Linked DNA regions of Mus musculus: all the other regions are reported to be linked to region 1. The links are microRNA targets in miRTarBase. Many come from high-throughput screens and were not tested one by one. Region 1 holds a microRNA gene; each other region holds the end of a gene's coding sequence.

The links. The annotated mature microRNA mmu-miR-339-5p reads UCCCUGUCCUCCAGGAGCUCACG and lies in region 1 at 2,438-2,460, shown strand. An mRNA with a match to its seed (bases 2 to 7 or 8) in the 3' UTR can be bound and repressed. Matches are read on the target gene's strand: a 7mer-m8 pairs with bases 2 to 8, a 7mer-A1 pairs with bases 2 to 7 and ends in A, and an 8mer does both.
Region 2: the mRNA of Decr2 is a reported target of mmu-miR-339-5p. Seed matches in the 3' UTR shown: 7mer-m8 at 3,097-3,103.
Region 3: miRTarBase lists Mcm5 as a target of mmu-miR-339-5p. Seed matches in the 3' UTR shown: 7mer-m8 at 1,395-1,401.
Region 4: the mRNA of Abt1 is a reported target of mmu-miR-339-5p. Seed matches in the 3' UTR shown: 8mer at 3,018-3,025.
Region 5: miRTarBase lists Dclre1c as a target of mmu-miR-339-5p. The part of its 3' UTR that is shown has no 7-base or 8-base seed match.
Region 6: miRTarBase lists Kdm6b as a target of mmu-miR-339-5p. The part of its 3' UTR that is shown has no 7-base or 8-base seed match.

The regions. Positions count from the first base shown.
Region 1 is chr5:139,367,082-139,372,167 of GRCm38, reverse strand. It overlaps Mir339 (microRNA 339), which reads left to right and starts at 2,423; the gene lies at 2,423-2,518. The region is part of intron 2 of 3110082I17Rik (RIKEN cDNA 3110082I17 gene); the gene reads left to right.
Region 2 is chr17:26,078,662-26,083,747 of GRCm38, forward strand. Decr2 (2-4-dienoyl-Coenzyme A reductase 2, peroxisomal) reads right to left here. Exons shown (of 9, transcript NM_011933.2): 7 at 4,915-5,019; 8 at 4,215-4,432; 9 at 2,550-3,600. The coding sequence ends at 4,215. Among named protein-coding and RNA genes, the nearest start is that of Decr2, 9.0 kb to the right of the region's middle.
Region 3 is chr8:75,126,924-75,132,009 of GRCm38, forward strand. It overlaps Mcm5 (minichromosome maintenance complex component 5), which reads left to right. Exons shown (of 17, transcript NM_008566.3): 17 at 300-1,516. The coding sequence ends at 401. Among named protein-coding and RNA genes, the nearest start is that of Mcm5, 20 kb to the left of the region's middle.
Region 4 is chr13:23,417,847-23,422,932 of GRCm38, forward strand. Abt1 (activator of basal transcription 1) reads right to left here. Exons shown (of 3, transcript NM_013924.3): 2 at 4,637-4,836; 3 at 515-4,489. The coding sequence ends at 4,127. Among named protein-coding and RNA genes, the nearest start is that of Abt1, 3.5 kb to the right of the region's middle.
Region 5 is chr2:3,453,239-3,458,238 of GRCm38, reverse strand. It overlaps Dclre1c (DNA cross-link repair 1C), which reads right to left. Exons shown (of 14, transcript NM_146114.3): 14 at 2,885-5,000. The coding sequence ends at 4,430. Suv39h2 (suppressor of variegation 3-9 2) reads left to right here. Exons shown (of 6, transcript NM_022724.4): 6 at 1-2,424. Among named protein-coding and RNA genes, the nearest start is that of Suv39h2, 19 kb to the left of the region's middle.
Region 6 is chr11:69,395,126-69,400,211 of GRCm38, reverse strand. It overlaps Kdm6b (KDM1 lysine (K)-specific demethylase 6B), which reads left to right. Exons shown (of 24, transcript NM_001017426.2): 22 at 1-16; 23 at 102-272; 24 at 363-1,704. The coding sequence ends at 386. It overlaps Cyb5d1 (cytochrome b5 domain containing 1), which reads left to right and starts at 4,866. Exons shown (of 4, transcript NM_001045525.2): 1 at 4,866-5,078. The coding sequence starts at 4,919. It overlaps Naa38 (N(alpha)-acetyltransferase 38, NatC auxiliary subunit), which reads right to left and starts at 4,421. Exons shown (of 3, transcript NM_030083.2): 1 at 4,240-4,421; 2 at 3,852-4,035; 3 at 3,541-3,692. The coding sequence starts at 4,320. The coding sequence ends at 3,580. Tmem88 (transmembrane protein 88) reads left to right here and starts at 1,978. Exons shown (of 2, transcript NM_025915.4): 1 at 1,978-2,196; 2 at 2,331-3,696. The coding sequence starts at 1,987. The coding sequence ends at 2,600.

The DNA.
Region 1 (5,086 bases):
ACGAGCGAGGTCAGTGCGTGGCCAGGCGCGGGCGGCGCCAGGTGACCCCGAGGCATCGGTGGTGGCCTCGCTCTGTAGCCACGCGAGGTCGTCCAGGTGTCCCTTCGCACCGCTGCCTGCCTTCCCACCCCTGAGCCCATAGCCTGGGCCCCGCTCATAGTCTTATTAGACTTTGAGTCTTAGGCTTTGAGACCGCTTGCCAGGTTAACATGCCAGGTTAACTTGCCAGGTTAACATGGACACCCAGGAGGACCCTCCTGGGTGTCCGCGGTGTGTGCAGAGCCCTGACCCAAAAAACTGCTTGTGAACAGTGGGAGGGGCATAACAACAAACTTTATGGCACTTAATGAAGTCCCTGTGTAATGTTGATTTCATTCTTGCCTGCTCCACTAGCCTGGGTTTTTGTGTTTTGTTTTGTTTTTTTCCACCTCCCAAGAGGCAGACTTTGTTGCAGGCCTTCTCAATTGCTCCCAGGTCAGCCTTCCTGCAGGAACTCCTTAAAGTCTGTGGGGAAGGTGGTATAGTTAGGGTCTGGAGGTGAGAACTTGGCAGGCTGTGCTCACAGGCTGACACTCGCAGGAGAAATAGGATCGCAGGCTGCTCAGCTAATGTGGAAGCCTGGTGGCTGATAGTCTTTGACAGTACATAATTGTTTGTTTGGTTTTTTTTTTTTCCCTGGGAGACCCCATTTTCTGCCCAGTTGTAGCTGCTTGCACCCGCACCTTGGATGACTCCCACACTTTGCTTAGTGGGCTTTTCAAGCTTTAGAAATCCGCTCTGCATTATAATAGCAAGATCAGCACAAAAAGTAGGAACTATAGAGGATCCTGCGAGTGTTGTTTGTGCCCCAGTGTTTGTTCTGGTCATCTCTGCCCTCGTTGGCTCAGAGCTGTCTTCACATTTCTGCTGTTTTAAAAAAAGGGGGGTGGGGAGTTTTGGATTGCTAGGGAGTCACTTACCCAGGTGAGCAGAGACATCTGACCTTGCTTGCAGGGTGGTTGCTGGGCCCGTTGTAGCAGGAGAAATGGCCTTTCCTTGGCCACAGCAAGAAAGCTTCCATGACCTTAATGTCACTTGGGGGTCCACTAGGCAGTTTGGGATGTGTGAACACAGCTGCTCTACCAGAGGAAGCCAAAATCAAAAGCATTTTGATTACCGGCACACTCAAATAGAATTGGGAGTGGGGCACGTGGAAACCAGGCTAGAACAAGCATCCCTGGGTGGTGGGCATGCCGGGAAGCTCTAGAGAAGGGGATGTGGGTACCTGGCCCTGGCTAGAAAGAAGGCCTCCAGCTAGGGCGAAGGAGGCAGACTGCAGCTGAAATGAGACTGAGTCTCGCTCGGCTCAGGGACGCAGCGCAGGCTCTGCACAGTACACAGGTTCTTGTGTCAGCAGGCTTTTCCTGGCCTGGGAATGCTCAGTTATAGATGCAAGCCCCTCCCTCTCCTTCACTTCAGGGTCTCCTACTGCAGGGGTCTGATTAGAGACCTCCCCATCTCCCCCGCTGCAGGGCCCTCTTCCCTGCCTGTTGGCTGCTTTCTGCCATTTCTGAGTAGACCTAGGTGGGAGCTTGTTGTGTGTGTCGCCCTCACGCCCGTGATTCAGGTGGCAGGGGCTGACTCTGTCCTTGCTCTTGGACCAGGAGCTTCACTGATGGCCGAGTTGGGCTTCCCACTTAAACTTGTGCCAGAGCTGCTGGGACCAGTTCCTGTGATCTGCAGGCAAAGGGACGGAAGTTTTATCTTCTGGAGCCAGCCCCTCAGCCTAGTCAAGGAAATCTGCACCCTGTTCAAGCTCCTGGGGTCTGTCTGCTCCTGTGTTGGAACTGGGGACATGTGAGATAGCAGTGGGAGAGGTTAGACCTAGAAAACCCATGGGACCTTCATAACCTTGTTGGTGGGGCCAGTCAGCCTGAGTCAGGTGAGCTGAGGCCAGAGAGCCAAGAAAACCGATGTATAGTCGGGGACTCACAGCCTAGAGGCCTTGTGGTCTGTGCTGGAGTCTGTGAGAAAGTTAATTCTCTGGGCAGCCTGAGGTCAAGACTTAGGCTTTAGCCTGTGTTTAACCCCCAAGTAAGTGACACAGGGTGTTTCTGCCGTGACTGCAGAAGGACCTGTGGCCTGGACAGAGCCTGGGCTTGGTGGCGGTGACAACATCACCTCTGGGGATTCGTGTGTCCTGTGGCAGCTGGTGATGGCCCAGTCTCCTGTTTCTCAGGGATACATCAGATCTGCTGCTCACTTCCGCCATTCAGGTCACTGAGGAGGCAGGGTGCCGCATCTGTCATCTTTGTCTTTTTCAAGCATGGGGCTTAAGTGACATTTTGTGCATTTGAAAAGTCATATCTAGAAGGGGATCCCTAGGTGGGTGTGACCCTTGCCTTGGCACCAAGGTGGTGAGAGCACAGCTGTGCAGAGCTGGACGGGGTGGCCACTATCCCTGTCCTCCAGGAGCTCACGTATGCCTGCCTGTGAGCGCCTCGGCGACAGAGCCGGTGTCCACCCCTGCACTGTCCACAGACCCTTGCCTGCAGACCAGGGTGCTCAGTCGCTGGCTGTTCATGCTGTACCTTCTTGAACTCGATTGTGCAGATCTGCAGGTTGTTCCGTGGATGGAGGGGACTCTGGTTTCTCTGTGCGGTGACGCAAGGCACTGACCCCTCTGGGGTCCTAATCATCTTAACCTACGCAGACACTGAGGGGGAGGGGAGAGGAGCCAGGAGGGAGCCTTCCAGGTCTCTCCCTCTGTGTGTGTCCTCTGTAGCACCAGTTGATTCTACTGCGTGTGACCTATGTCCTGGCAGTTGGTGTCCCTGGGTCACTTCTACATCCACTGTGTTTCAGTAATTACCTCCAAATAAAAAGCTTCCTTTAAAACAAACTCTCTCCCCTCTCTTCATTATGTTGTTGTGCTTTTGCTTTGTCTTCTGGAAATCTTGCTACCGAGTGAGTGCATAGCCGGGCAGCAGTCTGCTGAGGTCTGTGAACCGGAATGGGCTCTCAAGGTCGAACACCTCTGTGGGACCCTGGACTCGGGCTGGCTCCAACTGAATGGAGGAGGGCTGATTCTGGGCTGGGGAATGAGAACAGAGTCCACTGGCCTTGGCACCCAGCTCGTCAGCCTCAGCAGGCTTCGTGGTCTCCCCCCACAAACATCGCTGTCACTTGTAGGCCATTCCCAATGTCTGGGGAACAGGTATAGGGGTGGTAGGGACCAGAGACCATGCCCCAGCCTTGGAGGCACCACCTGGGTATGTGATAGACAGGCCAGGTGCTGGGCTCCATCGACCATCTGCTGTGCCCTTGGGACTCTGTCCTGTGTGAAGCGGGTCAAATGACTGGATTCCCTGCCACTCAGCTGCGCCCCCAGTACAGCTGCTCTGGTCACATGATGGGGTGGGGACAACAGAGGGTCCTTCTACCCTCACCTGTGTTCATCCTTACACCTGACTCAGTCATTCCAAGAAAGAAGGTCCTACAGAGCTGTGTGTCTGGCACTGGCTACCAGGGCCTCTACTGCCAAGGTCTACAACTAACCTTTGAGGGGTTTTTGTTTATGTTTGAGACAGACTTGCTAAGCTCAAGCTAGCCTTGGACTTTCAATCCTCAGGACATATTCACCAACCTCCTCCACAATTCCAAGAACGTTTGAACAAGATGTTTTTGAGCCCAGTGGATGCTCAAAAACGCTGGGCATTGACTGCCTCCCCAGGACAGCACAAATCCCTATTAAGAGAATATCCCCAGTCATACTGCCCCAGCACAGGTGATGCCCTGGCCAGGGCCAGCAGCTCCTTCTAGCTGTGTGGAGAAGGAGAACATCTCTCTGCCCTGTGAACTTCATTGGGGAAGGACAGTGGGCCCTTGCCCTTCCTCCTACACAGAAGGCCTCTTTTACCCCCATGGGACCCAAGGGAGGGGCAGTGGTGGGGTGCTTGAAGCTGCGGTTTGCTGCAGCACCCACCTTTGTGTGCCTCCTCAGCGCCTGAGGCTTCAAAAACAGTAAGGTTCAACCAGGGCTTCCTGATTAAACCTGGGGAACAAACAAGAGAAGCAGGCCCACGCAGTTGCCCTGGTTCAAGGTTGGTCCTGGGTTTACACACAGCCTGGTGAGGGCAAGGGAGAAAGTGCCGCCTGGAGTCTTTGAGCTGGCAGAAAACACCCACTCACCAGGATGCCCCTGCTTACAGATGGTAGAGTTAAGCCTCCTCACCAGCAACAGGCACAAGCAGGCCAGACTCCCCTTACCAGTGTGGCTCAGAATGCCTGGCCAGGACTCTTCTCAACATCCAGAACTCAGGGAGCCTGAGGCAAGATTGCCCCTAAGGGGACGCTAGCTAGCCTGGGCTTTATAATTCCAGGTCAGCTTACCAGCTAACCTACACACACACACACACACACAGGCTGTGCCCTGTCATGGACACCAGGCAGTCTTGAATTTAGCTACCAAGGCTGTTGGGAGATGGTCCAGTTTTCTTCTCAATCTCCAGAGTCACCCAGCAAGCCTTGCCTGTTAGCATGGGACAGAGGCTGCCTGCTCCGCCAGCCCTGGATCAGTGCAAACCATGAGTGGTGATGGAGATGTGGGTGGAGGAACCCTCAGGGTGTGCCATTTGGGAGACTGCTGATGCTGCACTGGCCCCAAAGTGTCAGCCTTCCTTGGCTTTGGTAGGGACAGCAAAGAGCTGAGCCCACCATCCATACAAGGACCCTCCGTGGGTGCAGCATTCGCTCAGGCCAGTGTGCATGTTTTATATGCATGCCTGAATGAGCATTACATATGTACCCAGAGTTCAGAAGAGGACTTTGGGCCCTCTGGAGCTACAATTACAAATGATTGAGAGCTACCATGTGGGTGCTGAGAACCAAACCCAGGTCCTCTGTAAGAGCAACAAGTGCTCTAACCCACCGAGCCATCTCCACCCAGCATGTGTGTGCCACACCCTACCTCTCTTTTAAAAAAGAGCTGGAAAAGAGGGCAGCTCTAATCCCGGGACTCCAGAGGCTACAGAGACAGGAGAAGTGCCAGCCTGGGCCACGTACCAAGTTCCTCTTTGAAAACCAGGGGGCTGGAAAGATGGGGGTC
Region 2 (5,086 bases), not on the chromosome of region 1:
CCCATGTTCTGTACACACACAGTAATATGGGCCAGCAAGATGGCTCAGCAGGTAAAGACCACCAAACCTGTCACCGGAATTCAACCCCCAGCATCTACTTGGTAGAAGGAGAAAACCAAGTCTCTAATGTTATCCTCGGATCTCCACATGAGCATCGTAACACATCCTGCCCACACATATGCATGCAAATAAATAACAAATGTTTAAAAGCAAAAACAAACAAACAAATACAACAGACAGGTACCTTCAACCTGTTTCCTATGTCTCCATGAGGTGGCCCCGCCCTGGCAAACAGAGAGGAAGACCCAGTGCTTGGGAAAATCCTCCAGGGAGACAAGTGGATTTTGGTGCCAGATCTTGTAGTACATGCAAGCCACAGCTGGGCTGCTCCAAGTTACCAAGGCAACAGAAATCAGTGGAAAGGAACCCCCTCCAAATGAGCAGTGTTTATTTTGGGCAATTTTAAGGTTTTTGTGTTCTGGATAGACAAAGATAAACATACCCAGACCTTCATTTGTAACCTATGGAAAACACTGACATGCTAGAAATCACCTGTATGGCTCAAACCAAGGCACGGGTGAGTACATGCAGTTTTGTTTGTTCGTTCATTAAACACATACAACCCAAGACACTTTGTTCTTTTTGTGGTAGGGGAGGATGTGTGGGTTTTTTGAGACAGAGTTTCTCTGTGTAACAGTACTGGCTGTATGACTTAAGATTTCCATTGCTAACAAGAGACACCATGACCAAGGCAATTCTTTTTTTTTTTCTTTTTTGGTTTTTCAAGACAGGGTTTCTCTGTGCAGCCCTGGCTGACCCGGAACTCACTTTGTAGACCAGGTTGGCCTCAAACTCAGAAATCCGCCTGCCTCTGCCTCCCGAGTGCTGGGAATAAAGGAGCGCCACCACGCCCGGCTGGACCAAGGCAATTCTTATAAGGGACAGCATTTAATTGGGGCTGGCTTACAGGTTCAGAGGTTTAGTGCACTATATTGGCAGGATGCATGGCAGTGTGCAGGCAAACATGGTGCTAGAGAAAGAGTCAAGGGTTGTACATCTTAGCTGGGCAAGGTGGCGCACGCCTTTACTCCCAGCACTCAGGAGGCAGAGGCAGGCTGATTTCTGAGTTTGAGGCCATCCTGGTCTACAAAGTGAGTTCCAGGACAGCCAGGGCTATACAGAGAAACCCTGTCTCCAAAAACAAAAACAAACAAACAAACAAACAAAAAGAGTTGTACATCTTGATCCAAAGGCAGTCAGGAGAAGACTGACTTCCAGGCAGCTAGGAGGAGGGTCTCAAAGCCCACCCTCACAGTGACACATGTGGTTGCCGGGAATTGAACTCCGGACTTCTGGAAGAGTAGTCAGTGCTCTTAACCACTGAGCCATTTCTACAGCCCCACTTTGTTATTTTAAGACAGGTTTTTGGCATGGCTGATAGTCACTCTGTAGCCAAGCTAGCCTTGAATTTGTGGCAGTTATGCTAGGATTACAAGTGTATACCACTAAGCCTGGGTTTTGCTGTTGCTGAGGGGGTTTGGTTTGGGTTGGGTTTGAGGGGTGTGTTATTTGTTGTTTGGTTGCTTGCTTGGTTTCTAAGGCTGGGTCTCACCGTGCAGTCTAAACCACCCTTAATCTTAATCTTCCTATTTTAGTCTCCCAAGTGCTGGGATTACAAGCCTGTGCCATCATAATGAACTAATGCCTTTTAAAATCTGCATCTTGGGGGGGGGGGGCGGGGCTGGAGAAATGGCTTAGTGATTAGAGCTATATACTCCTTTTGAAGAGGAATGGATTTCAATTTTCATGAGACTCAAATCAGATTATAACTCCAGCTGCAGGGGGATCTCAAAGATGCCTTCTTCTGGACTCTGGGGGTATCTACACTAACACATTAAGGTTAGCCAGGCGGTGGTGGCGCATGCCTTTAATCCCAGCACTTGCTAGACAAGGCTGGCCACCAAATGCTCTGACACACCAGCATGGTGGCCACATGCTGGAGCCGGCAGGCAACCCCCACGGATGGGGCAGTGGGGCTGCTTGTACCTTACACATTGAGTGAGTGCTGAAATTGTGTCCTTCTTGAGCTGGCTCAACAGCTAAGAGCTTGATACTGTGTCTGCCAAAGGGGCCCGGAACAGCAGAACATGCTCAGGATTTGTAGTAGAGCGGGGAGTTCAAAGACAGGTGACTATAGGGCTGAAAGGTTTCAGGGAGGGGGAGATGCTCCCTCCCACCAGGGTGGCCACAGTGCCACACCTCCCTCTGATCTGGAGACCATTGGTAAGAAGTCAGGAAGCTGTGCTGCTAGGGTTGGGGGGCAGGATAATGGGGAGGAGGGCACTGGGCTCTGTTGGTGGAAGGAGGGCATGAGGGGGGAGGACTTCACTCAGTTGGTGGGAGGAGGGCATGAGGGAGAAGGACTTTGATCAGTTGGTGGGAGGAGTGCATGAGGGGGGAAGGACTGGGCTCGGTAGGTGGGAGGAAGGCATGAGAAGCAACCAAGCTAAAGAGATATGGAAAAAAGACAGGAAACACAAGCACTATTTCCATGGTAGAATCAGTCAATTTTTTTTCTGTCTAGAAACGTTTTTATTAAAGATTTCTTTATTTATTTTATGTATATGAGTACACTGTAGCTGTACAGATGGTTGTGAGCCTTCATGTGGTTGTTGGGAATTGAATTTTTAGGACCTCTGCTCGCTCTGGTCTGCTCTGCTCGCTCAATCCTGCTAGCTCTGGCCCAAAGATTTATTTATTATTATACATGAGTTCACTGTAGCTGACTTCAGATGCACCAGATCTTATCACAGATGGTTGTGAGCCACCATGTGGTTGCTGGGATTTGAACTCAGGACTTTCAGAAGAGCAGTCAGTGCTCTTACCTGCTGAACCATTTTGCCAGCCCTCTAGAAACTTTTACAAATTCCAACTCATAGCTATTTTTATAGTAGAAAAAACAAAAAACAAAAAAAAAAAAACCCGGGCAGTGGTGGCGAATGCCTTTAATCCCAGCACTTGGGAGGCAGAGGCAGGCAGATTTCGAGGCCAGCCTGGTCTACAGAGTTCCAGGACAGCCAGGGCTATGCAGAGAAACCCTGTCTCAAAAAAAAAAATTTTTTTTTACAAGAAAATGCATTTTTTTTCTGGTAAAACCATAGGAATTCCTCAGATACTGTAAGCAAGTTTCAGCTATGCATGATCGGGTTATTCCTACTCAAGATGTGGGCGGAGGAGAGGCAGAGCTTGCAAAGAGCTTGATCCCAGAGGCAGGGGAGTGGGCTCGGATTTCCAAGTCAGACTCAACACTTCCTGTGTGACTATAGACCTATGCAAGGCAGGAGGCATTCCCCATGAAGAACACTGCCTCCTCAAAACAACTATCTTGAGTACGAAGTTTATGTGTCAGAAGATCCCCGGGGGAGGACGTACAGATCAGTTGATTCTGCTGGTTGAACCTGCTGGAAGCCTTGGGTGTGATCTTCAAACACTGCAAAAATTGGCAGGGTGGCTCTTTTGTAAAATCATCTTCAGCTACATAGTGTACATGAGATCCTATCTTCAAAGAAGAAGAAGGTGGATATCCACGGGAGGACTCCCCTGGGGGACGGGAGGACGGGAGGGAGAGGAAGCTTCAGTCATGATGTAAAGAAAATTGATTAATTCATTAATTAATAGAAAAGTAATCATTAATCATCACTGAATAAACGTTGACCTGAGATGAAGTTATAAGGAGAAAGAAGAAGAACGTGGAGGAGGAGGAAGAAAGAGAGAAAAGGAAAGGAAAGGAAAGGAAAGGAAAGGAAAGGAAAGGAAAGGAAAGGAAAGGAAAGGAAAGGAAAGGAAAGAAAAGAAAAGAAAAGAAAAGAAAAGAAAAGAAAAGAAAAGAAAAGAAAAGAAAAAGTTATATCCTAGCATGTACTCCTGTACTCTCACACTCCAGAGGCTAAGATAGGAAAATTGCAAATTTAAGGCTGTATTTCTCCAATAGAGACGAGGATAAGGTCTGGGAAAACCCAGTGTCATAGAGCCCACTTCCTTCACATTCTTGGAGACCATGTCTTGCCCACCTGGCCCAGGGCCCCTCTGTGCCAGGACAGGGGCAGGGATGCTCCTATGAAAACATGACTAGTAGTTTATAGCTGCACTTAGTAGAATAAAAGATGAGGCATCCAAGGACATGGGGATCCCGAGAAGTGGGAACAACACCTTACCTACAGCTTAGCAGAGAAGGATTCAAACTCTAGCAGTTGCTTGATGCCATTGGGGAATGTCATCCAGCTTCCACCATCAACCACCAGCACGATACCTGAGACATAGGAAGCCAGAGGGCTGGCCAGGTACAGCACGCTGTGAGCGATCTCTGTCTTGGTCCCAAGTCTTGGAATAGGATTTGAAAAATGCTTTAATTTCGAACTGGCATTGGAGCCTCCTGGAAAGCAATAGGAAGTCAGATCCCAGTAAGCCTCTATGCCACAGTGTCTGCTGCTCTCTCCAGCTAGCTCTCTCCCTGACCCAGATCTGGAAACAGTGGTTGCTCTATCAAGGCCAACAGCAGACTGACACTGAACCCACATGATGGACATTGGAGACCCTCACAGTAGGCCAAGTTCAACAGGGTAGAAGGTTAAACATTTAGATAACTTCTTGACTTGAATAAGAAGACTTTTGTTGATGGTTGTGTTGTCCTTATTGTTTTTGTTTTTGAGACAGGGTTTCTCTGTGTAGCCCTGGCTGTCCTGGAACTCACTCTGTAGACCAGGCTGGCCTCGAACTCAGAGATCCACCTGCCTCTGCCTCCCAAGTGCTGGGATTAAAGGTGTGTGCCACCACCACCCAGTAAGACAGAATTGTTAAGTACTGCAACAATTCTTGAAGCTTTGATGGGTGTCTCAAACTCCCAGGGAGACTTACTTAATCGCCTTAAACCCTCAGTGCCACTGATGGCACCAGGAGCCAGGCTGTTGACACGGATATTCTGGGGACCCCATTCCACAGCCAAGTGTCGCGTCATAGCATCTGCATGAGAAATGCATATGGGAGGGGAAACTGTGAGGCTGTTCCGCTCTGAGGTAGCCCAAGTATC
Region 3 (5,086 bases), not on the chromosome of region 1:
GGGTCACAGGGACTTAAGTCCTAGCTCACTTAATTGCTATATGACCCAAACAAGTGACAGCCTGTGCCTATTTCTTCCTCTGTAAAATGAGATTATTCCTAATACTAGGTGCATAAAGTCGATATATGTACTTACCTAGTACACAAGAGGCATCATCACATACACACTTTTCTGAAGTCAAGGGAGAATGGAGGTGGATATTTTTTGTCTGTTTAAAATTGTCTATGATCCGGTGATGCATCAGGTCCCTTGGGTCATAATGATATACCTGTGCATCTGTCTTGTGCTCCCTCCTACAGAAATATCCAGAGCACGCTATCCGAAAGGTGCTGCAGCTCATGCTACGCAGGGGTGAGATCCAACACCGTATGCAGCGCAAGGTGCTCTATCGCCTCAAGTGAGCCCATTGCCCATCAACCCTCAAGCCTGAAATGCTGCCACCACCCTATCTCCCAGTCAGTGCTCCAAACCTCCTTTTGCCCTGCCTCTCCACCTCAGACTGCAGTCTGCAGCACATCTGCAGCCCCTGGAAATGTACTTTGGTCTGTTGGCCTCATACTGTGTTTGAGTGTCTGAGGACTCTCTGCTCTGGGTGTCTATCCCCTGTCATGCCTTCTCAACAAGATGAGTCTGGAGCAGGAACAGGCCCTGGAATGTAGATGGGTCTGTATATTGGCTCCCGGGCCACTCACTGCCAAGCTTCTTTGTATGTACAGAGGTAATAAAGCAATTGAGTCCCTGGCTGCTAAGGTCAGTGGACCCAGTATGATAGTAGTGCTGTGTGAATACAAGGTTGACTCTTTCAGCTTTCTTCAGCAGCACCTAATGTGAGAACTGGATCATTCATTGAGTTGTCTGCCTCAGTTTCCTAATCTGCAAACAAATTTGATGAAGCTGAGCTCAGTGAGTGAGTGGCTGTCAGTGAAAACCCAAGTAGACTCCAATGTAGAATGTCTCCAGGGCTTTATTTATAGCAAGTGGGCCTCAGTGGTGTCTGGGGAAGGAACCAGACGTCAGGGTTTATCAGTTAAGGAGCTATGAGTACCTGAGCAAGCTTCAGCACAGTAGGAGGTATTAGTGACAACATTGTTAAAAGAAGACACCCAACACCTCGTATTACCAAAATGCCGAAAATTATGATTTTAGAAATCTATAATTTATAAAATTAAGGAAAAGTCAGTGAAATATTTAAGTATTTGTTATGTAAAGTACATTTATAAATGGGAAGCTAGTGCTGAAAACACTGCAGTCACCAACAGTAAAGTTACTGTAGGAGGAAGGCTTGAGAGAACAGGAAGTACATACACAGGCCTTTCTCGTAGATGGCGTCCTGTGCTGAAATGGCTGTTGCTTGAGGTGTTTGCTTTTTTTTTTTTTTTTTTTTAGTTTTTTGAGACAGGGTTTCTCTGTGTAGCCCTGGCTGCCTGGAACTCACTTTGTAGACCAGGCTGGCCTCGAACTCAGAAATCCGCCTGCCTCTGCCTTCTGAGTACTGGGATTAAAAGTGTGGGCCACCACGCCTGGCTGAAGTGTTTGCTTCTTACTCCCTCCTGGAAATGTGCTTGCTCCTGACGAATGGCCATAGCCATTTCTTTTTGATTGGTCTGCAAACTTGGAACAGAGTGTGCTTGTCTGGAAGGGCAGGCTTGGTAAGAACATTTCATCCTACTTGAGGCCTTGAGGATGCATGGACATGCGGGCCTGCAGGAGTGCTTAGTTGAGTGGAAGATGCCGATATGATACCTCTTTCTTGGTAGGCCCTGGCTGGCAGGCACAGTGTTAAGGGAGACAAGCTTGGCTTGCAGGGAAGTGGGCAGTGCTCGGTGTGCCACAGCACGAGGAAAAATGCCCAGGAAAATATCCAGGAATTAAGGATTGGTTGGTTTCTGAATCTGAACTGGATCCTAACCTTTAATTCTACGAGACACTGGCCTGAGCTGCTGGGGCTAAGTTACTGTAGCCCTGCAAGTATGGCCAAGATGGTCTTAGGACACACTTTCCCCTCTTTTCCTCACCTTCCCATGAGTGTCTCAGATAAGTAGGATTTGAAGCAGTGCTCTGAGGACTCAGCCCTGCTGCTTGCTCTGCTTTCATTGCTTCCCCAGACAGCAACTTGATTTTCACTTTTTTTTTTGCCTTGGCATGCTTGGGCGTCCTGGTGATTCCTGGTCTGGTCCCTTGCCCAAGGTATAGATAGACATTTCACATCCCCTGGTTGGTCTTTCAGCTTAAATATTATTTGTCCTTAGACATATATTCGTGTCACGCAGTGACAGGATTGGTACGGGCCCAAATGGGCTGCAATGGCCTGTTATGTTAGCACCTGAGCTCTGCTGCATCTACCATCACATATTGTCTGACCCAGACTGCACGTGGGAGAGGATTCTACTGAAATGCATGAGGTGTGGAGGATTTCTGGCAAAATTCTAAGCAACTGTTAATGACAAGCTGTTGGGAATCATACACACTGTCACCTTAGCCACCATAGAAGTCATACGTACAGTGAAGATTACAGGCCAGACATGGAAGTTAGCATCCCTGTAACTCCCATATTTAGGAGATGGAAGCAGGAGGATCAGGAGTTCAAGGTTGTCCTCAGTTTCAAAGTGTTCAAGGCTACAACCTGGGCTATAAGAGATTGGTCCTGTTTCAAAAACAATCTACATAAAAATGTGTTAGTGAAAATACTATTTTAGAGGAACATTTACAAGTACCAGAATAAGGCCAATTCTCTTTTTTTGCGGGTGTGTGTGTGTGTGTGTGTGTGTGTGTGTGTGTGTTTCGAGACAGGGTTTTCGTATAGCCCCGGCTGTCCTGGAACTCACTCTGTAGACCAGGCTGGCCTCGAACTCAGAAATCTCCCTGCCTCTGCCTCCCGAGTGCTGGGATTAAAGGCATGCGCCACCACCGCCCAGCCCAATTCTCTTATTTTTAAACTATTTTTTATTTTTATCTTATGCATCTTGGTGTTTTGCCTGCATGTATGTCTGTATGAAGGTGTTAGATCTTTGATTTGCAGGTGTTTGTGAACTCTATGGGTGCTGAGAATTGAACCTGGGTCCCCAGGAAGAGAAGCCAGTGCTTTTAGATGCGGAGCCATCTACCCCATCCCAAAGAAACAACAAAAACAAGGAATTTCAGAAATGCAAAAGATGAGTTTTCTCAGACTGTTGAGGTGGAAGTGGCAGAAGATGCACACTTCACAGGGTAACTTTGTGGTTTTAGATGTAAGTTTTTCACTTCTATTAAGTATGTTATGGTTTTAGATGTAAATCTTTCATATTGTGCGTGGGTGTGTATGTGTTGGTCTTAAATAGCATGCCACATGGGTGGAGCTTAGGAGGCAACTGCATAGAGTCTGTTCTCTCCTTGCATGTTTACATGGGCTCTTGGGAAAACTCAGGTCATCCGATGTGTGTGACAAGCACCTTTACCTGCTGAGGCATACAGATCCGTGTGCTTAAACATGAACACTGGTAGGTTGGTATTTATGAGCCAAGGGTTGCAGCTCAGTGGTTGACTGCTTTCCTGGCATGTGTGAGGCCAGGTTTTCAATCCTGGCACCACAGGAACATGGTATGGTTCAAAGGGTAGTTTTCAGTTAAATCAGTGAGGGTTTTTTCTTCTACTTGAAAGATGAGGCGGTAAGGTAAAGTTCTGGTGTAAGTACATGGGCCCAAACCCAACTGGCCTGGGTTCAGATTGTAACTCAGCTACTTACTGTACCTATCCCAGCCTTAATTTCCTATTAAGAAATAGGGGTGCTGGGTTTGGTGGTGCACGCCTTAAACACCAGCTCTAGGGAGGCAGGCAGGTGGATCTCTTAGGTTTAAGTCTAGCCTGATCTATAGAGCAAGTTCCAGGATGAGAGCTCACAGAAACCCTGTCTTGAATAAAAAGAAAAGCGGGGGGGGGGGGGGAGAAAAAGATGTGAGCACCGATTTAAGGATGAGGCAGGCTCTTCTAGGGACTGAGCTGCCTTGACAGCAAATTTTGGAATTATTAGGAAACTAAGTTCCAAGCAATAGATAGGCAGTTTAGGGTCCTTTCCATTGTTTCCCCTTTCTCAAAGTTCAGGCTGAGGTTAAGAGAATGGCCATGAGGATGGGTTGGTACTAGCACCTTACCCACAGTCCAGCAAAGGGTGCTGTGGATGGTGTGGAATAGATTAAGGTAGACAATTGCATCCATGGTTTGCCAGATCAGTTGCTCGCTCGCTCTCTCTCTCTCTCTCTCTCTCTCTCTCTCTCTCTCTCTCTCTCTCTCTCTCTCTCTCTGTGTGTGTGTGTGTATGTGTGTGTGTATGTGTTAAAGTGAAAGGATACCAATCAGGCTAGATTAGGGCCCACTTTAACAAACCCACAGGTCTCTACGTTTAATAGGATTAAAGACAAGTGCTACCATACCTGTTCCATAACTACCTAACAACTTTGTACTCAGGTCTGAGGCGCTGGTGTCTAGGGCTTTTTTAACATGATAGGTGGTGGGGGAACAGGCTTCTTTCTAGGACAGGAGGAGTGGGGTGGGGCTGGGGTGTAAGCCCCTGTTGCCCACAGAGTGGAAAGTTCCTAGCCTTAATCTTTCATCAGACACATTGAAGAGAAAAAGGCATTATATGGGGAGCAAAGTGGCTCAGGAGTCAAGAACTTCTGGCCACCTTGAACCAAGTTTCTACTTGTGTAGGGACAGGATTTGGGGAAGGGTTTGGGAAAGAATTTCATGGAGGGTCCAGGGCTGCTTTCTGATGCCCTCCTCTGCCAAAATGTTTTCAGCACCTTATGAATGAGTGGTGAATTCTGCACTCACTGTGTGCCAAGTAGTACACTAGACACCCACATATTCTACAGTGCCCACTACCCCCCAAAATTTTTTTTAAAAATTTATTTTTATTTATATGAGTATGCTGTAGCTGTCTTCAGACACACCAGAAGAGGGCATCAGATCTCATTACAGATGGTTGTGAGGCACCATGTGGTTGCTGGGAATTGAACTCGGCCTCTGGAAGAAGTCAGTGCACTTATCCGCTGAGCCATCTCTCCAGCCCCCTACCCCACAATTCTGAGTAACATACAACTGAGTGACAGGC
Region 4 (5,086 bases), not on the chromosome of region 1:
TAATCCATAGCCCATGTTGCCAACTGAGATTCAGCAAGTATGGGCACAATGATCTTAACTGCGTATGACTCCACACTGCATTACAAGTAGGAGTCAGCTAGCTTTGGCTGTAACTGCACACCACAGCTCCTACAGCTAGTAATGAAGTCACAATGCACTTTCTGAGCCTGAAAAACACTTTGTCGAGTCTTCTTCTCTTCTTCCTCCTCCTCCTCCTCTTTTTCCTCCTCCTACCCTCTTCCTCCTCACTATGTAGCCCTGTCTGTCCTGGAACTAACTATATAGACAAGGCTGGCCTTGAACTCACAGAGATCTGCCTACCTCTTGCTTCTCAAGTACTGAGATTAGAGGTTTGTACAAAGTCCAGTCAACACTTGTTTTTATCAATGTTTCATTATTGGGCTCTAGTCACACAGAACAACCACCACAGATTAGCTGGCTTTCACTCTGTTCTTACCATTGTTCCTGTAGAAGAGGCTTGATGTGGACAGAGTAGGCTTACAGAGTCCCAGATGAAGATGTAAATCTGACTTTTATTACCTTTGTGACTGTTTGGATCAAGACCTTCCTGACGCTCCTTATCACTGTCACAAGTAGATGACACTTTCCAAACTGGTTGTCAAACCAAACATCACAGGTAGTGGAGTGCAGAAAGTGTATTATTTAGGATTTTTATAAAACCTCTCCTCACAGCAACTCAAAGAGTTAGTGAACATTTATTTACCAGACTGAAGCCCTAAAGAGTCAAAGATAATGTTGAATCTTCATACTGATAACACCAGGGTAAAAACATCAACAATTACTGTAAAACAGGAGGAGCTACCCCAGAGAGAAAACAGTGCTCCAGCCCCACAGAAGCAGGATGCTCACCTTAGGAGGGGAAGTCGGGGGAAGCCAGCCTGACATTCTAAGTGACTGAATCTTGAAGGGGAAATGCACTTGAGCTTGTGAGGAAGGGAACAAGGGGCCAGGGGTTCAGGCTGTTGGAAGCGAAGTTTCAGAAGGTGCTGAGGAAGGCAGTCCATGTGATAGACCCACGACATGGGCTGGACTGAGGGAGGAGAATGGAGACAGGAAAAGTGGCTGGAATGGTAGGATCTTTGAGAGGCTCAGTCTCTGTCTTAGAGTTTAACTGCTGTGAACAGACACCATGACCAAGGCAAGTCTTATAAAGGACAACTTCTAATTGGGACTGGCTTACAGGTTCAGAGGTTCAGTCCATTATCATCAAGGTGGGAGCCTGGCAGCATCCAGGCATGATACAGGCAGAGCTGAGGGTTCTACATCTGAAGGCTGCTAGTGGAAGACTGACTTCTAGGCAGCTAGAGTGAGGCTCTTAAACCCCATGACCACAGTAGCACACCTACTCCAACAAGGCCACTCCTCCAAATAGTGCCACTCTCTGGGCCAAGCATATTCAAACCATGACAGTATTTTTAACCCCTAGATCTATTAGTAAACATCTTTTTGCAGTTTTTATACAGAAGACATGTACCAAAATGAATACTGAAACATTTTAAAAGATAAGGCATGTGATAGCTTGTGGATGCCTTTTCCAGGTAAGGATTTACCCTATAAAGAAAAGGAAGGTAAATTATTATTCTATTTATTTATTTAAGAATATTGAAACTAGGCCTCTTGATACAGGCCTCTCCTCACAGCAAGTTTTTGGGAGGCTGAGACAGGATTTCATGTTCAGAGCCTACCTGACCAAAGTTAGCTCAAAGCTAATTTGAGCAACTTACAGAATGAGTTCAAGGCTAAGTCTCACTTGAGTGAGGCCCTATCACAAAATAAGAAAGTTATAAAGAGCAGTCCCTAGGTCCAGTAATGTGGGACATGCAGAGATATTCCTTCTAAGGTGAAAGATAAGTTATTGCACCTGGCCCCTCCCACTACCAAGAAAAAAGCACATTTAGTGGGTCTATTTGGATTCTGGAGACAGTATATTACTCACTTGGGTGTGTTACTCAGGCCCATATACCAAGTGACGTGTGTGGGGCCTGAAACAGAAGGCCCTTCAACAGGTCCAGGCTACTGTGCAGGCTGCTCTACTCCTGAACCATATGATCAAGCAGACCCGATGGCACTTGAGGTGCTGGTAGCAGATAGAGATGCTGTTTGGAGCCTCTGGCAGGCCCCTGTAGGGAAATCACAGAAAAGACCTTTGGGATATTAAAGCAAAGCTCTACCATCATCTGCAGACAACTATTCTCCCTTTGAAAAACAGCTCTTGGCCTGCTATTGGGCCTTAGTGGAAACTGAACATTTGATAATAGGACACCAGAATCAGGTTGCAAGTTACCAAGCAACCTGAACTTGAACTATCCATCATGAGCTGGGTGCCATCAGACCCTCCAGTCGTAAAGTAGGACATACAAAGCAGCAGTCTATTATCAAATGGAAGTGGTATATATGTGATTGGGCCAGAGCAGGTCTTGAAGGCACAAGCAAGTTACTTGAAGAAGTTGCTCAAATGCCTATGGTTTCTACTCCTATTACAATGCCATCTGCTGCCAAGCATGTGCCTATAGCCTCATGGGGTGTTCCTATGATTGGCTGACTGAAGACTAGGACCTGGATTTCTGATAGCTCTATACGTTATGCAGGCACCACCCAGAAGTGGACAGCTGCAGTATAATCCCTTTCCAGGGCAACCCTGAAAGATACAGGTGAAGGAAAATCTTCACAATGGGCAAAACTTCGGGCAGTACACGTGGTATTAGTTTGTTTGGCAAAAGAAATGGCCAGATGTACAACTGTTTACTGACTCATGGTTTGTAGCCAATGGATTGGCTGGATGGTCAGGGATTTGGAAAGATAACAATTGAAAATTGGTGAGAAAGACATCTGGGGAAGAAGTATGTGGATAGATATTTCCAAGTGGGCAAAGGATGTGAAGATATTTGTGTCCCATTTAAACACTCACCAAAAGGTGACTTCAGCCAAGGAGGAGTTCAATAATCAAGTGGATTAGATGACCCGTTCTGTGGACAGTCAGCCTCTTTCCCCAGCCATCCCTGTCATTGCTCAATGGGCACATGAACAAAGTGGCTATGGTGACGGAGATGGAGGTTATGCTCGGGCTCAACAACAGGGACTTCCACTCACCAAGGCTGACCTGGCTACGGCTGCCGCTGAATGCCAGATCTGCCAATAGCAGAAACTAACACTGAGCCCCAGATTCTTTGAGGTGATCAGCCAGAAACCTGGTGTCAGGTTTACTACATTGGACTACTTCCTCCGTAGAAAGGAGATCTCTGAGTTCAAGGTCATGTGGGACAAAGCAAGTCCCAGATCCAGGAATGGCGGCACACACCTTTAACCTGGGCCACATCTTCTAAGGAGACCTACATAATGACATTGGAAGAAGGAAGACCCTCCTTCACCTGCTTGTCTTGTGGGACTGAGCAACTGCTAGACCCTTGCACTTCCATTCACAGGTGCTCCTGACCACTGTTGGGAGTTAAGACTACAGTCGGTAAACCATCAACAAATTCCATTACTATACAGAGACTACCCATAAGTTCTGTGACTCTACAGAACCCTGACTAACACAGGAGCATTGGGATCATATCTGATAGAGTAACTGAGATTCATGGGTGGAGGAGAATCATGCCTGTGCTAAAGTAACTGAGCGGCATGTATGGCTTCAAAAGAAGTTGAAACTTACTTAATGAAAAACTAAAAAGCATATAAAAATAAATTATTTTTTATTTTCAAATATAAGCCTCAAATTGGACCTCTAATCCAATTCCTGCTAATTCAGCCTTCCACCACAGTGAACAAACACCACAGACCACTACCCTAGTGGAGGGCAAGTCCACTCTTTCAGTCAGAAACTGTTAGCTGTCCACTGAGAAAGAGGCAGGCAATCAGAAATCAAACAAAACACAACAGGCACCTCCAGTGGTCTTCACCCTGGATAGGACGAGTAAGGTTCTCAGGCTGGCACTTACAGGATTTGTTCAAAGTAGGTAAAAGACACCAACAAAAGGCCTTTACCAGACTCTTGGTGTGTGGAATAGAGAAAACATCTGCCTAGATGGTCACACTCTTCAGGAAGCAGATCAGAATGGCGCAGGGCTGGTAGGTATTTCTTCCATCACCAGGAGTCCCTTATTGACTACGGTTTTTCCTTGCTCTCTGCAGGTAGAGGGGCTCCAAAGATCTTGGCAAGGAGCCCTCTGTTGGATCGGGCCTGGTCCTCGACATTAGCCAGCCGTGCTCTTTCCCGCCCTCCTGGCCGTGCAGCTTTCCGGGCCCTAAACTCCTGCTCAGTGGGACGCTGGGTGAATGTCCAGGAGCTATTTGGCCGAGTAGCATCCCCATCAGCTGCAAGGAAGTGTTGTCCCTGTTCTACGTTTCGAAGATAGAAGTCAGTCTCTCTCTTTGCTTGGGCGACCTCTGCTCTCAGGCGTTGCCTTCGTACTTGGCGCTCAAAGGCAAGGTGTTCACTGAGGTGGGACCAAGTAAAACGATGCAAATACTGTGAGAAGGAAAAGAAGAAAAGGTCACGGTAGGGAAGGTCGGGAGAAGAAACTGGGAGCTGCTCAGAGCTAGCAGGAAGGATGGGGTGCCTGGACTAGAGCTGGAGGGGGGAATGAAGATGTGGCAGACAAACTGAGAACCTCACCTTGAGGTTCCACAGGTCATAACGGAAGGGGCTGCGCTTGCGGGCGCCCATGGGCGTGTTATGTAGACTGGCTGCCACTCGCTTGGCTACACGCTTGTCTCGGAACTCCACCCAGCCTTCGGTATAGTCCTTGCTGTACTTAGCTCCCTTCTTTCCTCCTGCGGCCGCGGCTGCCTTCTTCTTGCGTTTCACAAAGTGGTCTGTAGGCCAAACACAATGAACATCCCATCAAGCACCCACTGAGACACACCTCAGTTTAGCCGTAAGCCACACCTGCTGGTTTAGGCGCTACTTTACAGGGATTGATGAAACACGGCTGTCTGTAAGGGGCAGCTCCTCCTTTCCTTAATTCATGCCTCCCTTCAAATGACAACTTCTTGAACATTAGAACAGCACCAAGAACAACACCAGTCCCCACCTCCATTTCCAAGTTGTGCATGTCAAGAGGTG
Region 5 (5,000 bases), not on the chromosome of region 1:
TTTACTATATTATTTCTGTTTAATACTCACTGATCAGAGACAAATAAGTGCTGAATTTTTTACTATATTTTCTACTTTTACATAAAAACATTGGCATCTTAATGATATATTTCAGGTGTAAAAATGTGAAAGACTTACTTCTAGCTTGATCTTATTTTGAAGCAATAGATACCATTACAAAGGTTGTATATCTGAACCTGAAATTCTTAAAAGATTTTTTTTAGTTGCACAGAAGAAAAGCCCCTAATCACCTTCTCTAGAAGTCTATAGTGGCTGGCCATTGTGCTTCTTTGAACACACAGAACAGTGACTAGGAGGGCCCATTGGAGTGCCAGGCAGAGTGAGCCACTCAGCGAGTGGGAGGTCCGCACTGAGTATCTCATCTGAGCAGGAGTGAGATCCGTGAGGGACACAAGCCCCGATGACAGTGTAATTCAGGTCACTTGCAGGCACTTTTAATTACTATCCACTACATTTAAATAATTTTGTATTTTGTGCATGCCCTTTTGAACAGATACTTGTTTTATACAAGAATTTTTTTATAAGATAAAACTTAGCTTGGCCAGAGTTATGTCTGATTGAATTTTTATTAACTTCTGGGGATTAGATGCGGTTTTTCCCTGTGTAGTAAAACCCAATAAAGAAAAAACTTACTTTCATCTTTCTGGGTCTGGGAGTTCTAATCATGGTGTCCACTGTGAAGACAAAACAAATGCAGCAAATAAAGCAAGCTTTTGGTTTCCTAAGAGTTCCCCCGGCTCACTGCTCCAGGCTTTAATAGACTATGATAAGCGTCAGTAAAATGAACTGAATTCAGGAGCTCAGCATTTCCTTTATCTTCCTAACTCTTGGCCTGGTTTGAGAGAAGCTACAGTATTACTCAAAATCACCTTCATGGGGCTGCTGTTCACAACAGTACATGCAGAATATCGCCTTCATGGGGCTGCTGTTCACAGTACATAGTATTCAGTGTGCATATTTGAGGCCTTGTAGTATGTCTGCTACCCAAAGATTTCCGAATTTGTCAAGAAAAAAGTATAATTTTAAATGGCATTTCTTTTGTTTTGAGAATCTTAAAAGCAACACGGGTATCCCGTCCCATCCCCCCGTCCCACCCCCTAACAACCCCTTGGCCAAGCTCACCTTGAATTATTCTCAGGTTTAAAGATTAAAAAAAGACAGACAAAACCAAAACCCAGTGTTTGACTGTCTAGATATTTGGTCTTATTTACTGTTAAGGTTAAAAGGAAACTTAGGAGGGCAAGAAGGAAAATACTGTTTAATAAATATGTGGCTTTGTTTTGTCCTTACTAATAGAAATTTAATGTGCCCTTAAGATTTTGTGGGGAGTGGGTAGGCCTTTGGACAGAGTATCTGTAGCCAGGTTAGCCTTGAATTTACTGTGTAGCTGAGTATTATCGTGAACTCCTCAGCTCTGCCCCCCTACGGCCCAGCGCTGGGATTGCAGACACGTGCCACCATGCCAGCCTGGAGATTTTTACCTTTAAACACAAACAGACTTCACTCTGAGTGCCACACATGTAATGGTCATTGCTTCCCTTCACTATTCCATTACTCTTTCCTGCCTCTCAACATTCCCCCATTACATCCCTCTCAGACTGTCACCTCATGTTAGCTATTTATACAGGGTATGTGTATGTGTGTGCACATTGTTGTGATAAAAGTGATCAATTCAGCTGGAGCCTGATTCCTCACGTCACACGTCCCAAGTATGTAGTGTCTTCAGCAACATGTCCTTGGAAATAATCATGACAGGAACTTGAGCAGAGGCTGGAACCATGTAGGAAAGCTAACGCTGCTTCTTGGCTTACTCTCAGCCAGACTCATGCTCAGCTAGGTTTCTTAGATAGCCCAGGCCCCTCTGCCTAGGAATGGTACTGCCCACAGTGAGCTAGACCCCGCTACATCAATTACAATTAAGGAAATCCCCACAGACATGCCACAGGCCAATTTTGATGGAGCCAGTTTCTCAAATGAGGTTACTTTTTCCCAGGTGACCCTAGGCTTGTCAAGTTGTATGAGAAGGTATATACAATCAGTTTGCATTTGATTCTTCTCTGAAGTAAAAGTGGCTAGCCTTTAGGATTTTGTGATGTATCTTGGCATTTTGAAATGTTTTTAACTTTGCTAATTTAGAACTCTTGAAGAATGATGTAGCCACTACAATCAATGCTGCCCGTTTTAATGCTTTATGTAAAGAGCTTTCCTCATACAGCAGAGTGCTCGAGCATGGACTCTAAAAGCTTCGGGGTGTGTGTGTCTGTGTGTGTGTGTTGCTTACTAGCTATGTGAACTAACCTTTGTGCCTTAGTTTCATGCCTACCTCAAAGTATGGTTTCATAGATTAAAGCTTTATAAAGTGGGCTTTTTTTTTAATAACAGAATAAACACCATATGTAAAGATTTCCTGTTGTTCTGTATTTGAAACCTAAGCTGATAAGCATGTATTCTTAGCTCTTGACCTTTGCCAGCCAGTGTTCATGCCAGACTTAAGATCTAAAACATGAACATTACAATGATAAAATGTTAGAAATACATTGAGAACAATGTTTACAGGCATGTTACCTTGGATCATGAAATATTCTATTAAAACCAAGTTGGGTTGAGTGTGGCTCAGGTCAAAGGAAACAAAATTAAAATTAAGTTTTGAGTATTAGTGACTACACAAATGGAGAGTTATATGTACAGATATTCTAAGTCCAATCACCCAGCAGGTTGGGTCCAGTAATTCTGGATCTAATTGTGTAGCAGTTATGATCTGTGACATGCAGTTTAACTGTCAAATTGTTAGACGCCTTTTAAACTTATGTGGTGTGCCTACATCTTTTCCCTTGATTTGTAAAATGTCATCATACTCAAGTACTTATGAAAATGCTTATAAAGCTTTATTAATCCATACACATCAATACAAAAGCATTGTACCTTAAGGCACTTTAATAATTCACAGAGCATGTATGTTAAATATTTAAGTATTTTCCTTTACATCATTGCATTGGGAACAGTTTCATGTACTGAAACAAGCTCTTGCTACATACATTGCCCAGGCCTGACCTCCAACTCAAGTCCCTCTAGTCTCAGCTTGTAGAACACAGCCTTGCCTAGCCTGCTGGTAGCTTTTAAGGTTTATTTTTATATATGAGTCTTTTGCCTGTATGTATGTATGTGTGCATGGATCCCCTGGAATGGGGTTACAGACAGTTAAGAGCCACCATATGGGTGTAGGGAACCAAATCTGGGTAACCCACAAAACCGACAAGTGCTCTAAACTGCTCCAGCCCTGCCCCCCCACCCAGGTCTTTATGTGATAGAGGTTAATAAGGTCCTGGTTTACCCCCTGCTACCAGTTTACTAAAATAGAGCCCACCTTTATTTTTCTAGACTGCTTGTAGTGATTCAAGATACAGTGTATCTTGGTGGAGGAATGGTCCTTGTACATTTGAAGAGATGTATTCTGCTATGAAGTAAAATACTCTTGTCTATCAGATCCAGTTACTGGTGGTCAGTTCTCGTCTTACTGCTTTCCTGTGTGCACTGGTTCTCTAGGAAAGCGTGTTCCATGGCTTGTATCTGTATTATTTGCTCTTTTGTGGAGGGCATGGCACTGTACTGTACTGGAAACTGCAGCTAGGCCTTCATACAATCTAGGCAAGAACCTTACCATTACATCTTCTTGGTGAGGTAGACATTATGTTGGGGAAGGTGCCTGCTCCTACTGTATCATTCTGGCTTTAACATTATTTATGTGGTCTGCCCTTTACCTTCAACTTTTACATCACTTGAGTTGTGTTTTCTAAAAACAGCACATAGTTGGGCAGTGTTTTTCCTGTACTCTGTCTTTTTGTAAATCTTTTTTTTTTTCTTTTAAGATTTGTTTATTTATATGTAAGTACACTGTAGCTGTCTTCAGACACTCCAGAAGAGGGAGTCAGATCTCGTTATGGATGGTTGTGAGCCACCATGTGGTTGCTGGGATTTGAACTCCGGACCTTCGGAAGAGCAGTCGGGTGCTCTTACCCACTGAGCCATCTCACCATAAATCTTTTTATATCATTTGCATTTAATGTGATTATATGTTTAGATTTAGTTCTACCATCTCATGCAATGCTGGTTTTGAGCCTGTTTCTCTTTCTTTTAGGTCACTTGAGCATCCTTTAATATTTCATGTTGATCTTATTATATAGATGTGTCACTCTGCAGATTTCTTGTGGTTGATCTAACAAGTGTGTCTACCCTCCAGGCCACATACATCCACAGCTATGGATATTGCCCAGGACTTTTATGTATAGCATTGTATTGCAACATCGAAAGGCTGGACATCTTTGCTAGAATGAGAGGGTTTTTTTTTCTGTTGTTGTTGTTGTTGTTTTGGTTTTTCGAGACAGGGTTTCTCTGTGTAGAGTTTTATTTGTTAACTATCTAAAAGTGAACATTTTCTTTTTTCGACAACTATACTTTGACCTGTTGCCAGTTTCCTGTATAAGCACTGCAAATGCTCTGGCGTAGGAAGCTCCGCTTCGGGAGTTGAGGGGATTTCAAAGTCAGAGGAGCTCTGTGAGTCTGCACGTGTGCTGCTTAGCAATGTCTTCTCAGGTGGAGACTTCCTGCCACTCAGGGTGTCTAGTTCTACAAGACAAGGGGCTCCATTTACTTCAGCTCTGCTTTTCAAATCACAGTGAGTATCTTGTGGACACAGTGCATCCTGTTCTATTTGAGAGGCAGAAATACTCTCTTTGAGTTTTGGTTTGTAGGCACCCTTGTTTAAAGAGGTACTATCCCCACCACTTTTCTCTTGGGAAGATAACAAAACAGTATCACACTGGCTGTCCCAGCCTTGACTTCCTTGATCTGTTATATGGGTTGACTGAGATGAATTCTGGGAAGAGATATGGGTGGAGTCTCCATCAGAGTCACTGCAGAGCTTTGGTGAGTCACTGCAGAGCTTTGGTGAGTCACTGCAGAGCTTTGGTGACTGAGATCCC
Region 6 (5,086 bases), not on the chromosome of region 1:
CTGCAACGAATGCGACGTAAGTGTGCAAGCTCTTCCCCCTGCCTGGAAGAGACCTAACAGTAGTAGTGACTTCTTAGTGACAGCCGCTTTCTCCTGGCCAGGTGGAGGTGTTCAACATCCTGTTCGTTACAAGTGAGAATGGCAGCCGAAACACGTACCTGGTGCACTGCGAGGGCTGTGCGCGCCGTCGCAGCGCGGGCCTACAGGGCGTGGTGGTGCTAGAGCAGTACCGCACGGAGGAGCTGGCGCAGGCCTACGATGCCTTCACACTGGTGAGAGCGAGCGCCTGGGCTCCAGAGGGGGCGCGGGAGCGGCCGGTCCCCATCCGCCCACCACTGAAGCTGCCCACTTTCTCCCCGCAGGCTCCCGCCAGCACGTCTCGATGAGGCCGGACGCCCCGCTCGCCCGCCCACGCTGGGCGCGGCGGGGCCACCAGCACACGCCTGGGCTGGACCTAGGTCCCGCCTCTGGCCGGGAAGGGGGTCGGGCCCAGCCCTTCCACCCTATTGGCAGCTCCCCTCACTTAATTTATTAAGAAAAAAAAAATGTTTTTTTTTTAACAAATACGAGGAAAAAAAAAGGAAAAAAAATGGGAGACGGGGAGGGGGCTGGCAGCCTCTCGCCCACCAGCGCCTCCCCTCACCGACTTTGGCCTTTCTAGCAACAGACACAAGGACCAGGCTCCGGCGGCGGCGGGGGTCACATACGGGTTCCCTCAAGCCTGCCCGCCGCGCGCCCGCCCGCCGCCCGCCGGCGCAGACGTTCGCGGCTCGTTGTGTACATAGACGTTCGGCAGCCGAGGTTTTTAATGAGATTCTCTCTATGGGCTTTACCCCTACCCCTGGACCTCCTTTTTTTTTTTTTTTTTTTTTTTTTTTTTACTTCCAATGCTAGCTGTGATCCCTGTATATGTCTCTTGTTTATTCACTTGGTTATGATTCGTATTTTTGTTCTTTTTGTTTTTTGGTTTTTAATTTATAACAGTCCCACTCACCTCTATTTATTCATTTTTTTTTTCTCTTTTTTTGGGAAAACCCGACCTCTTACATCCCCAAGCCATCCCTCCTGCCTCTTTGGGAGGCCCACTCCTGGGCCTTCCCTGCGCCCCAGTATGTCCGGGCTTGGCCCGTCTGTCTCCGCCCGCCCGCGGCTCCAGCCGGGCTCTCATGGTGCTCAAACCTGCTCCCCTCCCCTACGTCCTGCACTTTCTTGGACCAGTACCCCCACTCCCGACCCAACCCCGACCCCACCTGAGGGTGAGCGACTCCTGTACTGTAGGGGAAGAAGTGGGAACTGAAATGGTATTTTGTAAAAAAAATAAATAAATAAAATAAAAAGTTTTAAAGAACTATGAGGAAAAGAAACCCTGTCCTCCCCAGCCTCGGCCATTTTAAAAACATTGGACACACACACACACACACACACACACACCTTTTTTAAGGCGTGAAACATCCCAGGGCAGGGCCTCTCTGGGGCAGGGACACCCTGGGGTGATTTTCTCTGGGGCTTTATTTTCATTTTCTTAGTTCGGTTTTTTTCCCCCCCGCTGGGGCTGCGGAGGGGTGGGGGGGTTTACAGTCCCGCCCCCTCGCACTGCACTGTCTCTCTGCCCCAGGGGCAGAGGGGGGCTTCCCATTCCTACCCTATTTTCGGTGATTTTTGTGTGAGAATATTATTAAAAATAAAAGCAGGAAAAAAAAAAAAGAGACCCTTGTGTTTTGATGATGGCTGTGAAGCATATCAGTTGAAGGGTCGAGGAGCTAAGGGGAGGGCGATGCAGCCTCCGGAGGTGGGGAGCCCCTCCTCAGAGGAGCCTGTGGAATGTCCAGACCCACAGTCTGCCCCTTAGGATGGGGATGCCTAATCCCAGAGCCGCATTCCAGGATAAGGTAGTGGGGGGCGGGGTGCAGAGAGACTGCCCCGGGGGAGGGGCAGGAAAGAGGGCTATAAGGACTGCAGTCGTGTGGGGCGGGAACCAACCAGGCCATGGCGGAGGTCCCCGGAGCCCAGCGCCCCGTTCTCGCTGGCGGCCCAGAGCCTCGGGATCCCCTAGATTGCTGGGCCTGTGCAGTGCTAGTAACGGCTCAGAATCTGCTGGTGGCTGTTTTCAATCTCCTCTTGCTGGCACTGGTGCTGGGGACCATCTTGCTACCTGCTGTCATCATGTTAGGCTTCGGCTTTCTCTGCCACTCCCAGGTAAGCATACCAAGGGGTATGCGTGAGTGGTGTGTGGGCGGCGGGGGTGGGGGGGTGTCTGAGCCACTGCATCCCCACTTGGGCTGTTTCCTCCTGGGCAGAGTGGCCCATTCTGATGTCTCTTATCCGCACAGTTTCTGCGCTCTCAGGCACCCCTTTGCACCTCGCATCTGCGGGACCCAGGCTTCACAGCCCTGTTGGTCACTGGATTCCTACTGCTCGTGCCGTTGCTTGTCCTTGCCCTGGCTACCTACCGCCGCCTCTGCCTGCGCCTCCGCCTGGCCGACTGCCTCGTGCCCTACAGCCGAGCCCTCTACAGGCGCCGGCGCATCCCACAGCCGAAGCAAATCCCAGTCTCACCAGGTTCTCGGTCTGTTCCCACACCGGGAAAGGTCTGGGTCTGAGGTGCTTAGAGTCAAGAATCCTGTCGATTGCCCTCCTGGTCTCTCAAGGACTTGAAACAAGCCCAGGGGTGTACTGCCCAAGCCGGTTCCTTACCGCGGCCTGAGCCGGATCCTACCATCCCTTTGATGGAACAGCTGAATGTGGACGTAGAGCTGGCGAAAATTCCCATGTCCCAGAAACGTCATTCACATTTGATTCCTGAACGTTTGGGCTGGACCCTGCACATCTTCTTTCCCTTCCCTATTGTAAATAAGAGAGCTGGACCTTGTGCCTTCCTTTGCTGGTGCAGCTCCTCCAAAATTTACAGGACTGAGGGACAGGGCTCACACAAATAAGAGAGAAGCCATCACAAATAATAAAAAAAAATTATAAAATGAATGCACTCTGTGAATACAGGGGTGGCACATATCCAATCGCTCCTGCACTGGGCTCAGGAGTAGGAAACGAATCCTCAAGACTACAAATGGGCAAATCAGAGAGCATCTCTCAGCATCCTGCCTTTTCCTTATCGCATTAGTCCATTCTTCCTGATCAGACCCCAGAGTTGTCTGGCCCTGACCCCAAAGTCACTTCCCCATTAATAGCGCAGAGAGGGCCTTGTTTCGGCTGCCTACCCAGCTCCCCTTGGGGACCCGAGCCCGTTCTCTGACCCCAGCTTAAAGGAACTGAGTGTTGCCAGGCCGGGGTGGGAAACAATGGATCTTCCGGGGCAGGATGACACCGCTTCCCGCTAGAAACTGAAGCAGGAGCGTGGGAGGGAAGATGGAGGGGCCCACCCTAGGGCCTGCTGCCTTAAGCTCCTAACTTGAGGGAGGGTTTGGTTCTTCTAGGCATTGGGGCAGGTTGAGGAAGCTCCTGAACTCTGATGAACCTCTAAGGGTGGGGTGTGCTAGCCCTCCCCTGACATTGGACCTACACACAGACACAGGCCACTTTGGTCATAGGGTTTAATGGTCTCAAAGAGAAGTGCAATTGTGGTCAGAGATACGGGCCCCCCGACAGACTCTCCCTTTGGACTTCAATAGAAACGATGTGGTGTCCTGGTACCATGGCCAGACCCAGCACACGGGGTTCGCCCGCAGAAAATGAATCTGGAAAAAAAAAAAAAAGTCAGTATCAGAACAGCAGGCAAACATCCGTCTCGCCCCCAGAAAATAAGGGGGTGCAGTAAGGCCTGCAAGAGGAAATGCCTTGCAGTGAATTTCCGCCGCATTCCCGAGGAGGTAGGTGTGTATTCCCTGGACACTGACCAGAAGGCTTGAGGAACTCTTGCGCAGAGCCCAGGATGACATTACAGTCGCGATCAGTGCACAGGAAGCAGCCGACTAGTGTCCTTCCATCTGTCATACGGATACGCATGGTCTTGTTGAGCAATGCCTCTAGTTGCTGCCGTGCACGCGTGGCCGGCGAGTCCTCCTGTTCCCCATCAGAGTCCTGCTAGGGCAGGACAAGCACTCAGACACCTAGGATCGGCAGCACGCCCAAGGAACCACAGTTCCCAGCTGCCCTCGCGGCGCTGCCAGAAGCCCGTGGGCTGCTGGGAATTGTAGTTCTCCTTTCCAACCTCGCCACCCCCTTTCCCCTCCCCGCCCGGTGTCGCTCCCCGACTGCTCGTCCAGAAACCAAGCCCACGCTAACCCCGGCGCTGGAGCTGCTCTGACGCCGACTGCAACAGCCATTCTCCTCTCGTAGTAGCATGGTCGGCCCAGCTCCGGCCATTGGCCCTGGGACCTCTTTTGGGCCTTAAACTTCCTAAGAGCGTTTTGGGGGATCGGCGCGTCAGATCTCGCGAGTGCTCCCAAGCGCTTTCGTGAGATCACAATTCCTCCTCGCCTCCGGTTCCGCCACTGCAGATCTCGCGAGATTTTATTTCATGCCAGGTCCCTACATGCCTACTGGGCTACGAGAAGAATATCGCGAGAACTTTACCTGCAATTGCTTAAACAGCTTTTAAACGCCTGAAATCTGGTGATTAAAAAACCCTCTATTCTAGTCTCCTCGTCGATACTTTCTGTTACCCCTAACTCATCTAGCCTACACTCCGTTATGAAACGGACTGTCTTCATTTCCTCTAAGAATGAATTCAACCACAGTAGGCTCGAAGCCGGAATCCGGAATGCTTCCGGTGGACACGCGCAGCCCAAACCCCGCCCTACTTACGTATAACTAACTACTGTGGCCGGTGGCCGGAAAGGGACAATGGTTTCCATGTCAGCGACAAACGCACTTCAGGTAGTTCTTGGACCTGATAGTTTTAAGATTGCGGAGGAGCGAGAAGGTAGCTGAGGGAGCCTGTGCCTCTTGTAGACCAGGAGCCATGCCGCGCCGGGGCCTAGTAGCCGGGCCAGACTTGGATAATTTTCAACGTCGGTATTTCACGCCGTCAGAAGTAGCGGAACACAACCAGCTCGAGGACCTATGGGTGTCTTACCTGGGATTTGTTTACAATCTAACACCGCTTGTCGAGGAATTCAAAGGTAAGGGA